Saccharomyces cerevisiae S288C: one gene and its partners. The protein of the gene in region 2 binds, or shares a complex with, the protein of the main gene of each other region. Each region holds a gene or a part of one and is shown on either strand. Other genes may lie near its edges. The genes, in order: MRP35, MRPL9, MRPL32 and MRPL33.

Evidence for each region.
Region 1: MRPL9 (region 2) and MRP35 share a complex: the UniProt entries of both Saccharomyces cerevisiae proteins name them as parts of the mitochondrial large ribosomal subunit.
Region 3: MRPL9 (region 2) and MRPL32 share a complex: the UniProt entries of both Saccharomyces cerevisiae proteins name them as parts of the mitochondrial large ribosomal subunit.
Region 4: MRPL9 (region 2) and MRPL33 share a complex: the UniProt entries of both Saccharomyces cerevisiae proteins name them as parts of the mitochondrial large ribosomal subunit.

What each region holds. Positions count from the first base shown.
Region 1 is NC_001146.8:397,487-400,061, reverse strand, and holds MRP35 (mitochondrial 54S ribosomal protein bL35m MRP35), read left to right. Parts: upstream 1-1,691; coding exon 1,692-2,039; downstream 2,040-2,575. Other genes in the region: protein channel TOM70, read left to right, coding at 1-1,378; NMA111 (Nma111p), read right to left, coding at 2,384-2,575. UniProt on the Saccharomyces cerevisiae protein: Component of the mitochondrial ribosome (mitoribosome), a dedicated translation machinery responsible for the synthesis of mitochondrial genome-encoded proteins, including at least some of the essential transmembrane subunits of the mitochondrial respiratory chain.
Region 2 is NC_001139.9:935,493-938,593, forward strand, and holds MRPL9 (mitochondrial 54S ribosomal protein uL3m MRPL9), read right to left. Parts: upstream 1,392-3,101; coding exon 582-1,391; downstream 1-581. Other genes in the region: exportin CRM1, read left to right, coding at 1-303; TOS2 (Tos2p), read right to left, coding at 1,632-3,101. UniProt on the Saccharomyces cerevisiae protein: Component of the mitochondrial ribosome (mitoribosome), a dedicated translation machinery responsible for the synthesis of mitochondrial genome-encoded proteins, including at least some of the essential transmembrane subunits of the mitochondrial respiratory chain.
Region 3 is NC_001135.5:116,969-119,739, reverse strand, and holds MRPL32 (mitochondrial 54S ribosomal protein bL32m MRPL32), read right to left. Parts: upstream 1,121-2,771; coding exon 569-1,120; downstream 1-568. Other genes in the region: YCP4 (flavodoxin-like fold family protein), read left to right, coding at 1-165; septin CDC10, read left to right, coding at 1,392-2,360. UniProt on the Saccharomyces cerevisiae protein: Component of the mitochondrial ribosome (mitoribosome), a dedicated translation machinery responsible for the synthesis of mitochondrial genome-encoded proteins, including at least some of the essential transmembrane subunits of the mitochondrial respiratory chain.
Region 4 is NC_001145.3:840,307-842,781, reverse strand, and holds MRPL33 (mitochondrial 54S ribosomal protein uL30m MRPL33), read right to left. Parts: upstream 841-2,475; coding exon 580-840; downstream 1-579. Other genes in the region: DSS1 (exoribonuclease II), read left to right, coding at 1-346; NGL2 (RNA exonuclease), read left to right, coding at 1,091-2,475. UniProt on the Saccharomyces cerevisiae protein: Component of the mitochondrial ribosome (mitoribosome), a dedicated translation machinery responsible for the synthesis of mitochondrial genome-encoded proteins, including at least some of the essential transmembrane subunits of the mitochondrial respiratory chain.

The DNA of each region.
Region 1 (2,575 bases), on a different chromosome or scaffold from region 2:
TGAATTAAAACCAGACTACTCAAAAGTTTTACTGAGAAGAGCTTCTGCTAACGAAGGGCTAGGAAAATTTGCGGATGCGATGTTCGATTTGTCTGTATTGTCTCTAAATGGTGACTTCAATGACGCCTCTATTGAACCAATGTTGGAGAGGAACTTGAATAAGCAAGCTATGTCTAAATTGAAAGAAAAGTTTGGCGATATTGACACCGCTACTGCTACTCCAACTGAATTATCCACCCAACCAGCTAAAGAACGCAAAGACAAGCAGGAAAACTTGCCTTCAGTTACATCCATGGCCTCTTTCTTTGGTATTTTCAAACCCGAGTTGACTTTTGCCAATTATGATGAATCCAATGAAGCTGATAAAGAGTTAATGAACGGTTTAAGTAATTTGTACAAAAGATCTCCCGAAAGTTACGACAAGGCTGATGAGTCTTTCACGAAAGCTGCAAGGTTATTTGAAGAACAATTGGACAAGAACAATGAGGATGAAAAGTTAAAGGAAAAATTGGCCATCTCATTAGAACACACAGGTATTTTCAAGTTCTTGAAAAACGATCCATTGGGAGCTCACGAAGACATCAAGAAAGCTATTGAATTGTTCCCAAGAGTCAATTCATATATCTACATGGCATTAATCATGGCTGATAGAAATGACTCGACTGAATATTATAACTACTTCGATAAAGCGCTGAAACTGGACTCAAACAATTCTTCTGTTTACTATCACCGCGGCCAAATGAATTTCATTTTACAAAACTATGATCAAGCAGGAAAAGATTTTGATAAAGCTAAGGAATTAGACCCAGAGAATATCTTCCCTTATATTCAATTAGCATGTCTAGCGTACCGTGAAAACAAGTTTGATGACTGTGAAACTTTGTTTAGTGAAGCTAAGAGAAAATTTCCAGAGGCACCAGAAGTTCCAAATTTCTTTGCTGAAATTTTAACAGACAAGAACGATTTTGACAAGGCTTTGAAGCAGTACGATTTGGCTATTGAATTAGAAAACAAGTTGGATGGTATTTATGTTGGAATTGCGCCTTTGGTCGGTAAAGCCACTTTGTTGACAAGAAATCCAACAGTAGAAAATTTTATTGAAGCCACGAATTTATTAGAAAAAGCGTCCAAACTAGACCCAAGAAGTGAGCAAGCTAAAATCGGTTTAGCTCAAATGAAATTGCAGCAGGAAGATATCGATGAAGCTATTACATTATTCGAAGAATCCGCTGATTTGGCTAGAACTATGGAAGAGAAATTACAAGCCATTACTTTTGCTGAAGCCGCTAAAGTTCAACAAAGAATTAGGTCTGATCCAGTATTGGCTAAAAAGATTCAAGAAACTTTAGCTAAATTACGCGAACAGGGTTTAATGTAAACAGTAAACATAAACTTAAAAACTTTTAGGAGAAGACAAAAACTAAGTAACAAAGTAGACTAAATGACAAAGGAAGAGCAGCAATGACATTGACATCTCACTTTGAAAATTTTTGTTTTCATTTTTGTTTCAATATACACGTATGCATGTTCTAATATATATATATATATCTTTTTCTTTTTCTCTTTCATTCTGTAAATAATTAGCAGTGCGTATAAACCACAACCAATTTTTTCAACCTTGAAGCCCTCGCCAATTTGCGGAGCCTAAAAAAATCTGGTCAAATACAAAAAAGATAGTATATATATCTATCATGAAAATTAGCTTGCATAACAAACGGCAACGAGGAGACCAAAACCAAAACATGTCTGTTTTCAATGTACTCAAACCACTACTTAAAGGTTCAAATAGTTTCAAAGTGAAGCTCAACGGCTTTCTATTCAATAACGTTTCTACAATAACAATAAGAACTTTAATGAAAACTCATAAAGGTACAGCAAAGAGGTGGAGGCGTACCGGTAATACTTTTAAAAGAGGCATAGCTGGAAGAAAACATGGCAATATAGGCTGGTCCCATAGATCATTAAAAGCCTTAACCGGAAGGAAAATTGCCCATCCAGCTTATTCAAAGCATCTAAAGCGGTTATTACCCTATCATTGAAGGTGGAATAATTATGTTCTCCTCTAAACCAAACGCACCGTTAACCCCAAATCAATTGTTTGAGTATTTGCTTTCGGTCTTCATGTATATAAATAAGTATGAAACAATAACCATAAATTTATACAATCGATAATACCTTAGAGAATTCAAGCGTTGAAGTAATTAAATACTATTTCGTCAGGCGCTTGCAACCATCTCGACATCATAATCCTAACCCCTCAAAATGATTGAAAAACTTGTAAATCTTAACGCTCCTGTGATAGTCTATAAAAAAACTGTTCTTTATGGAAGACTTTGATGTATACATACATACATACATATATAAATGTTTTATCAAATCTGGCCTATTTTTCACTTTGGCTGTTGCCGGTAAATTCCTTTTCAATCCATTTGTGCGTGATGTTGTCCCTCTTCAATTCTGCAGTAGGGAAGTAATGATAATTCGTTTTCAGTGAAATAGCGAAGGGCACATTGTCGAAAGTCATTAACCTCATTTTACAATAACTATTATCAGGGATTGTTTTGACAACTTTCAA
Region 2 (3,101 bases):
ACTTCAAATCAAGTCTACTTAAGCCAATATTTGGCTAATATGTTAAGTAATGCATTCCCCCATTTAACATCCGAACAAATCGCAAGTTTTCTCTCTGCATTAACTAAACAATACAAAGACTTAGTGGTCTTCAAAGGCACTTTGAGGGACTTTTTGGTGCAAATCAAAGAAGTCGGAGGTGATCCAACAGATTATTTGTTTGCTGAAGATAAAGAGAATGCATTAATGGAACAGAATAGACTAGAGAGGGAAAAAGCTGCCAAGATTGGTGGGTTATTAAAACCTTCCGAACTTGATGATTAGAGGCGGTGGCGTATCATTCTTTAAATTTCCAATATTTTTTCCCTTTTATTAACTAGTCTCTAATTTATAACCACGGGGTTTTCATTTCTTTTTCACTTCATATTGTATGTAAATTGGTTCTTCAAAGTTCCAATACTCTAATATAGTACTAAATACTATTTAGCCAACTTCATGGAAAAGTAAAGAATATTATTTGAAGATTCTTAAGTGATTACCCATTTTATTGTTATTATTGATGTATGTACATGATTGTAGTAAAATACTTATACGCCTTATGCTCAAGTTTTTTTGATTGCATCTTGAATTTTAACGAAACTGTTTTTGGGCCCAGCCACAGAGCCTTTAACCCAAATAACATTATTTTCATCGTCGACTTTCAAAACTTTAACATTTTGGATAGTAACATGCTCGTTTCCCATATGACCAGGCATCTTTCTTCCTGGCAGTACCCTACCTGGGTCTTGGTTTTGACCATAAGAACCACCGTGTCTATGCATAATAGATGTACCATGAGATGCTCTCAAACCCTTGAATCCATACCTTTTCATCACACCAGTAAAACCTTTGCCTTTGCTGACTGATCTGACGTCAACATATTGGCCTTCTTTGAAAAAAGAGGGTTTCAATAATGTGCCAGGTGGTATTAATCCCTTTTCATCTTTAACTCGGAATTCGGCCACATGCTCTTTTGGGTTAACAACTTTAGAAGCGAAATGACCAAGCATTTGTCTGCTAACTTTAGACAAATGCCTTGATCCGTACCCTACTTGACACGCGAAGTACCCATTGACCTCCGAAGTTCTATGCATTATTACTTCAACATTATTAACTTCTAATATAGTAGCGGCGCTTCTTTCACCAGTAGATTTATCAAAATAAGGCATCATTCCCTTCTTACGAGTAATTAAACCGCATCTTTTTGGTAGCCATTTTCTCGCATTTGCCAGTTCAGGTGAGTGATTAATCGCTGGAGCCTCGGTTGTTATACTGTTAGCAATACTAGGAGCCACTAGAAAAGGCCGAGTAGAAGAATATCTAACATGAAGTTTTGATATGCTAAATATTGATCCCTGTAGGAACTTCGACATGGCTATATTTGTTCTCTCTTGCTTTCAAAGAGTTGCCCTTTCTCGTCCCAGTTGTCAATTTATCGTCCATATATTTTTCAATAAAGTTCGTTTGACAAGGGATTACCCGAAAACAAATATCTCGCGACTGTAATAGGAGAAATGGCATTAGCATTTCAATTAAGGAAAGAAGAGGATCATCGAGAAACGAATTTATGGTGCTTATTTACTGTTACAACATTTCATGATTTTGAATTTTATTTATACATGTACATTCTCGTACGGTGTTATTTCGTAATTATGGGATGTGCCCAGTTGCTTCCTTAAGTCTTCCGTAGAAGCTTTAAAAGGTAAGATTTCCCCCACACTAGGAGGCTGCAAGATGTCAGTGTCATCCAATAACCCACTAACACGGAAATTTATTGCATTTGACAACGTTGACGGCGGTTGTGATAAAGAAGATGATGTTGTAGTGGATGAGTTACCAGGGAGATATTGGGCCTTTATTAAATTTCTTAAAGATCCTGCAGGCTTATAGCGAGGTTTCATAGAAAGTTCTGATGGGTTGGTCATAACAACACTTTGTCTAAGCTGATATGGAAGGGGCGTACAAAATTGCTTTGTCAAAGATGTTGACGGTATTTTCGTAGGCGAACTGTAAAACATTTCAGGATGATCCATTGGATTCAACGCTGTCCCATTAAGCCTAGCTGTAGGTACATGTTTTAGTGTTTTTGGAGGTTTAGGCCTTCCTTTGAATGACGTCAAGGAATGCGAAGAGGTGGAATAAATGAATTGGGTAGGCGTGGGCAAATCTCCGATGTTCTCATAATTTTGAGGATGTTCTAACGGGAGGGGATAATTATAGTAGTAATTGTCATCATTGCTCTGGTTGCAGTGATCTATAAAATATGTAGAATATTGCTGAGCAGAAGTAAGATTTGACTGACCCGAACCCTCCGAAAGGGCCCGTACGGGAGCCTTTGCAGAGTGAATATGGTCCTTAGCGACCGTGTCAGAATATATTGATGAGGTAATTCTCGTTGAAAGACCATTCGGTGGTGGGAATGTAAGAGATAGAGACGATTCGGGAATCACTTTTTCTCTGGTTGCTACTTCTGAATATACTGACGATGCAATGTTTTTATTCTCTTGTGGTGCCGGCACTTGCAGATAATCAGTTGCATCTTCATATTCCTCATTGGCGCTGGAACTGGAATCAATTTCTTGGACAGTTGTACTTCCGAAGTGACTCTGTTCAATTAATGTAGTATCATTTGGATTGTCTTGAGAGCTCATATTTACACTTTTTCTTGTAGCGATGTTTAATTTAGAGTCACGCCGTATCGAAGAAGTTACAGAGGATCGTATCGTGCTATTACTTTTCTCAAAATAAATGTTATAAATGCTTCTTATTCTGTCAATATTTTCTTCCTCCTCTCTCGAACACTGAGGCTCGAGCCCGCTACGACTCGTATAATTCGATTTAAGTCGATTATCGTTGTTATGGCTGGACTTTTCATTTACATCAGGATTTGACGTACTATCACATCTTTGATCACAGTCTTGCCCAGTATTTGAGTGTTGTGGTGAAACAATCAGCTCAGAATTCTCTAACGATTCGAAAGAAATCTTATTCGAAAGGTCAATGTGCTTGGAGGGGACCGATAACTTGCTGTTATTCTGCGAAGCCAGTGAAGCAATATTATAAGCGGAGGGTGCATGCTCATT
Region 3 (2,771 bases), on a different chromosome or scaffold from region 2:
TACGAAACCGCCAAAAAACTTTTCCCTGCAAAAGAAGCCAAGCCCTCCACTGAAAAGAAGACCACTACTTCTGATGCGGCTAAGAGACAAACTAAACCTGCAGCAGCTACAACTGCAGAAAAGAAGGAGGACAAAGGATTATTATCCTGCTGTACTGTCATGTAAGAAACAACAGTTCGCGTCTAATATTTAGTTCTTACTAACATTAATTCTATCTCAGCAGATATATCAATGTAGGACGTTGGAAAATTAATAAAGAATTAACTCTTTTTATTTTATTTTTTCCTTTTTATATTAAAAGTATATTTCTGTAAGTCCTTGTACTAATAATATCATTTCCTAATATTTTGAAATATAGTTGTTTTTTGTCAAGCAAAACTCTTGATTTCAAAGACCTCATTTTGTTAAGCCAAAAGCGAAAAATTCTATTTCGACTTTTCTTTCTGTTTCCGCTCCTTGTATTCTACCATTGATGCTGTCTTAAACAATAAATATACAGTTTGAAATTAAGTTTCTATATACAGGCTTAAGTTTATTTAAAAAGGAAACCACTAGATGAAAGATGAGCCTAGTCCTTTTTTAAAGTCCGAACGCGACGTTCCAAATAGTTATCTTTATCTTTCAAATCCTTGGTATATTTGGTATCTCTTCTACCAGGATATAGGACTCTTTGGTCTAGTTCGGAAAGTTCCTCCTCTTGTCTCGGCTTAATTTCTTCTTTAGCGGTATGCGTTTTCCATATATGACTTATTTGTCCAACACAATACATACACAGTGTATTGGCTCTCTTATAATGGCCGCATGATGGGCACTTATTCAAATGGTGAATCATCTTCAATTGCTTCTTACCTGGACCGTAAAGTTTTTGCCTTTTTTTTTGGTGTGATACTTTTTTTTTAGGAACTGCTAGTAGAATACCATTATTAGAGAAAAAATCTTTATCTTCAGTGTCCTTATGATCTTGTTGTAGCTTTTCTCTCAACCAACGGTGGATAGATCCCAGTTGTTTTTGGCCTGGAATCTGCAGTGAAGGATTTCCTAGCGGTACCAACCACCCAATTGCAGTGGTAGGCACAATTTTGTGAAATGCTAATTGTTTACCAAAAATCAAAGAATTCATAGTTTGTTTGCTGATATTCCCTGGTGTTTTTGTCTCCAAGTTAAGGTATTATTTGGGAACATTGTGCCTTATATTAAGATTTGCTTTCTGAATGCTTGCGGAAATAATCGTATGATACGATGAGATTTCCTCGAGAGACCACAAATAGATCAGAATCGCTGAATAGAATATATGTAAACATGTATCAGTAATACTTAACTTTTTTCAGGCAAAGACAAGAAAATACAAGGCCAAGCCCCACGGTTACTACAAGCACTCTATAAATATATTAATGGATCCTCTCAGCTCAGTACAGCCTGCTTCTTATGTTGGTTTTGATACCATCACGAATCAGATCGAACATCGTCTGTTGAAGAAAGGTTTTCAATTTAATATAATGGTTGTTGGCCAATCCGGATTGGGTAAAAGTACTCTAATAAATACGTTATTTGCCTCACATTTGATTGATTCTGCTACTGGTGATGATATTTCTGCCCTGCCTGTTACAAAAACAACTGAAATGAAAATTTCTACTCATACTCTTGTGGAGGACCGCGTTCGCTTGAATATTAATGTTATAGATACACCTGGATTTGGTGACTTTATTGACAATTCTAAAGCTTGGGAGCCTATTGTGAAGTACATTAAGGAACAACATTCTCAATACTTACGTAAAGAATTGACAGCCCAACGTGAAAGGTTTATTACTGATACAAGAGTTCATGCAATTCTTTATTTCCTGCAACCAAATGGAAAGGAGTTGAGCCGCCTTGACGTTGAAGCCTTGAAAAGATTGACAGAAATAGCAAATGTTATACCAGTTATTGGCAAGTCGGATACATTGACTTTAGATGAAAGAACGGAGTTTAGGGAGCTTATTCAAAATGAATTCGAAAAATACAATTTCAAGATTTATCCTTATGATTCGGAAGAACTAACTGACGAGGAATTAGAACTAAACAGAAGTGTTAGATCTATCATTCCGTTTGCAGTGGTTGGTTCTGAGAATGAGATTGAAATAAACGGTGAAACCTTCAGGGGAAGAAAAACTCGTTGGAGCGCTATTAATGTTGAGGATATCAACCAGTGTGATTTTGTATATTTAAGGGAATTTTTGATTCGAACTCATCTCCAAGACTTAATCGAAACAACTTCCTACATTCATTATGAAGGGTTCAGAGCAAGACAATTAATTGCCTTGAAAGAAAATGCGAATAGTCGTTCCTCAGCTCATATGTCTAGCAACGCCATTCAACGTTGAATCTCATAAGAATGGTGGTGATTATATATCTTATGTTATTAAGAATTCTCAAATTATTCTATATGAAAACACCGTAACTTGCTTCTCTCCTTGGTTTTACATAATGACATAATGCGATCGAAAACTAGAGGTACAGGTATTGCTGGATTGGCGAGAGTTTTTACCTTCTTTTCTGGCGTACAGCTATCACCTTCTCGTTTGGTAAAATGAAAGAACATTTTGTTGTCTTAGCCAAATATTTAATCTATGAAGAAAACGGAGTTTACCGGTAATTCTAAATAAAAGTTTGGTTAGGGATTGTGCCTCATAGAGAAGCAATTGGTACTCATCTTATTAAAGTATTACTATAAACATTAGAAAGAGTCCCTGAGCGTTGCTAATGGGAAGCTATTCGCGCTTTTAGTAAATTAT
Region 4 (2,475 bases), on a different chromosome or scaffold from region 2:
GCCTCTATGTTTTAATCAAACACAAATCGACAGTTTGATCTGGCCAATTCAATCTCGAGCGGATATTTTAAAAAGGGCTAGCCGTAATTCGTCGACGTACTGGACACTGAATTATTTAAAAAAGCTAACCAAACTAGAGCCAGAAAGGACTTTCGATGTAATGGTAACATCAGTACCGCAGAACGGATTTACTGGATGTGTTTTTCCAGACTTATCGTTCGCTAGAGGAACATTAAAATTGCATCCAAGTTCTATGCATTATCCGATGATTGGAGATATCGTGAAGAATTGTAAAATTTCAAAAATTGACTGTTTAGAAGGAATGTTAGAGTTGGAAAAGCTATAAAAAGGGACTCTTTTTCCAAATATAAAATTCAATAGACCATGCATAATTTTCTTCTTGTAAATATATACATACATAAAATATGAAATCGAGATAGTGTATTGATTTCTTTGTATCAAAAATTGCATAAATTACTATTAACATATGTGCCTATGCAGGAAAAAATAATACTATATACATATATAAGTCAGGAATATCAAGAAGAAAGGAAATCCAGTTGCCTTATTTTCGCTGTTTCAGTCGATGGTTCTCTTCTCCACTATAAACCCAGGGTTTGACTTTCTCAACTCTCGTTGCTGCGATGGTGTTAATTCATGTTCTGTTACTTCTACTTTGACTAACTCTTTTACTTTAGCTAGGGAGCCAGCTATGGCCGGGTTTACTTTTTTGTAGACTATGGACCCTCTTTTACCTAAACCCAAACTTTTGACAATGCTCTTCGTTGTGTGTGGCACACCGATAAGCGACCTACTCAACGTGACTTTGTAAAACACCATTCCTGATATCTGCTTTCAACGTGTTTTAGCTGGTCCATCAATATTGATTCCATCACCTAACTTTTGGGATGATATACTTTATCCTTAATATCTAGAAAAGCTCTTCGAGAGATATTTCGTGCAGAAAGACCATTCATTTTTCAAAAAATGGTTGCACTAAAGCAAGAGGAAAGGAAAAGTAGTGTTGCAAGAAGATGAGATTGTAGTCTCCTTATAGCTTCTTAATTGTAGTTAAGAGTATTAAGTAAATATGACACAAGACAAAGAAGTCAAAGTGGTTGCCCCAGATGTTGCGCCCGACCAAGAAGTAGAAATTAATAAATCTGTAAAAGATGCAAAACATCAAACCAATGATGATTCGTTACTTCAACATAAAAAGAAGGGCAAGAAAGGTAAAAAATCGAAGCCCATAGTGACCCCAGAACATATCGCTAAGGTTCGTGCCGAAAGGGAAGTTATGAGAAAGGCTAAAAGAGATGCAATGTTGGCTCAAGGTGTTGATCCGGACTGCCCGCCAGAGCTGCATTTTATCAGAAGACCTTTCCTATCTCTACATGAGGCAGAGCCAGTAACTGGATTTAGATTCAAGCTAATGACTTATAATTGCTTGGCGCAAGCTCTAATCCGCAGAAAGCTGTTCCCGGATAGTGGTGACGCTTTAAAATGGTACAGGCGTTCTAAAGTTCTCTTAAACGAGTTTAAATATTATAATTCCGATGTCATTTGTTTGCAAGAGATTGATCATATTCAGTTTCAAAGCTTTTGGAAAGATGAATTCAGTAAATTGGGATACGATGGACAATATTATAGAAATGCTACAAAAAACCATGGTGTCGCGATAATGTGGAGGAGAGAATTATTTCACCAGGTTGACAAAATGCTAATCGACTATGATAAAGAAAGTTCAGAAAGCATTTCCACTAGAACAACGACAAACAACGTGGGATTAGTCTTAGCCTTGAAGTTTTCTGAGAAAGTACTGTCGAATTTGGGTAAAAAATCGTCTAAAAAATGCGGTATCTTGATCGGCACTACGCATCTATTTTGGCATCCATTTGGTACTTATGAACGAACAAGACAATGCTATATTGTTTTAAAAAAGATGAAGGAATTCATGCATCGTGTGAATGTTTTACAGAACGAAAATGATGGGGATTTATCTCATTGGTTTCCTTTTTTCTGTGGTGATTTTAATTCCCAGCCGTTCGACACACCATATTTATCTATGACATCCAAACCAGTGCACTATAGAAACAGGGCAAAGACCGTCATTGGGTGCAGCACTTCATATAAGTTTTCCAAGGTCCGTGATGGCGAAGAAGGTGCAGATGACGAAGAAGGCGGGAATATTGAAAAATATGGTAAAGATCAACCTGAGAGCCCCGTTCCTGAAAAATTTCATGCTAATGAAGAACAGTCTGAACTCGTAGATAAAATGGCACAACTCCATAACTCATTGGATATGAGGGCTATTTCACTATACTCTGTTGGGTATAAGAATGTTCATCCAGAAAATGCAGGTCTTGATAATGATAGAGGTGAGCCTGAAATTTCAAATTGGGCAAACACTTGGCGTGGTTTATTAGACTATCTATTTTATGTAAAGAAATGGGACCCACAAAGTAATTGTCAGGA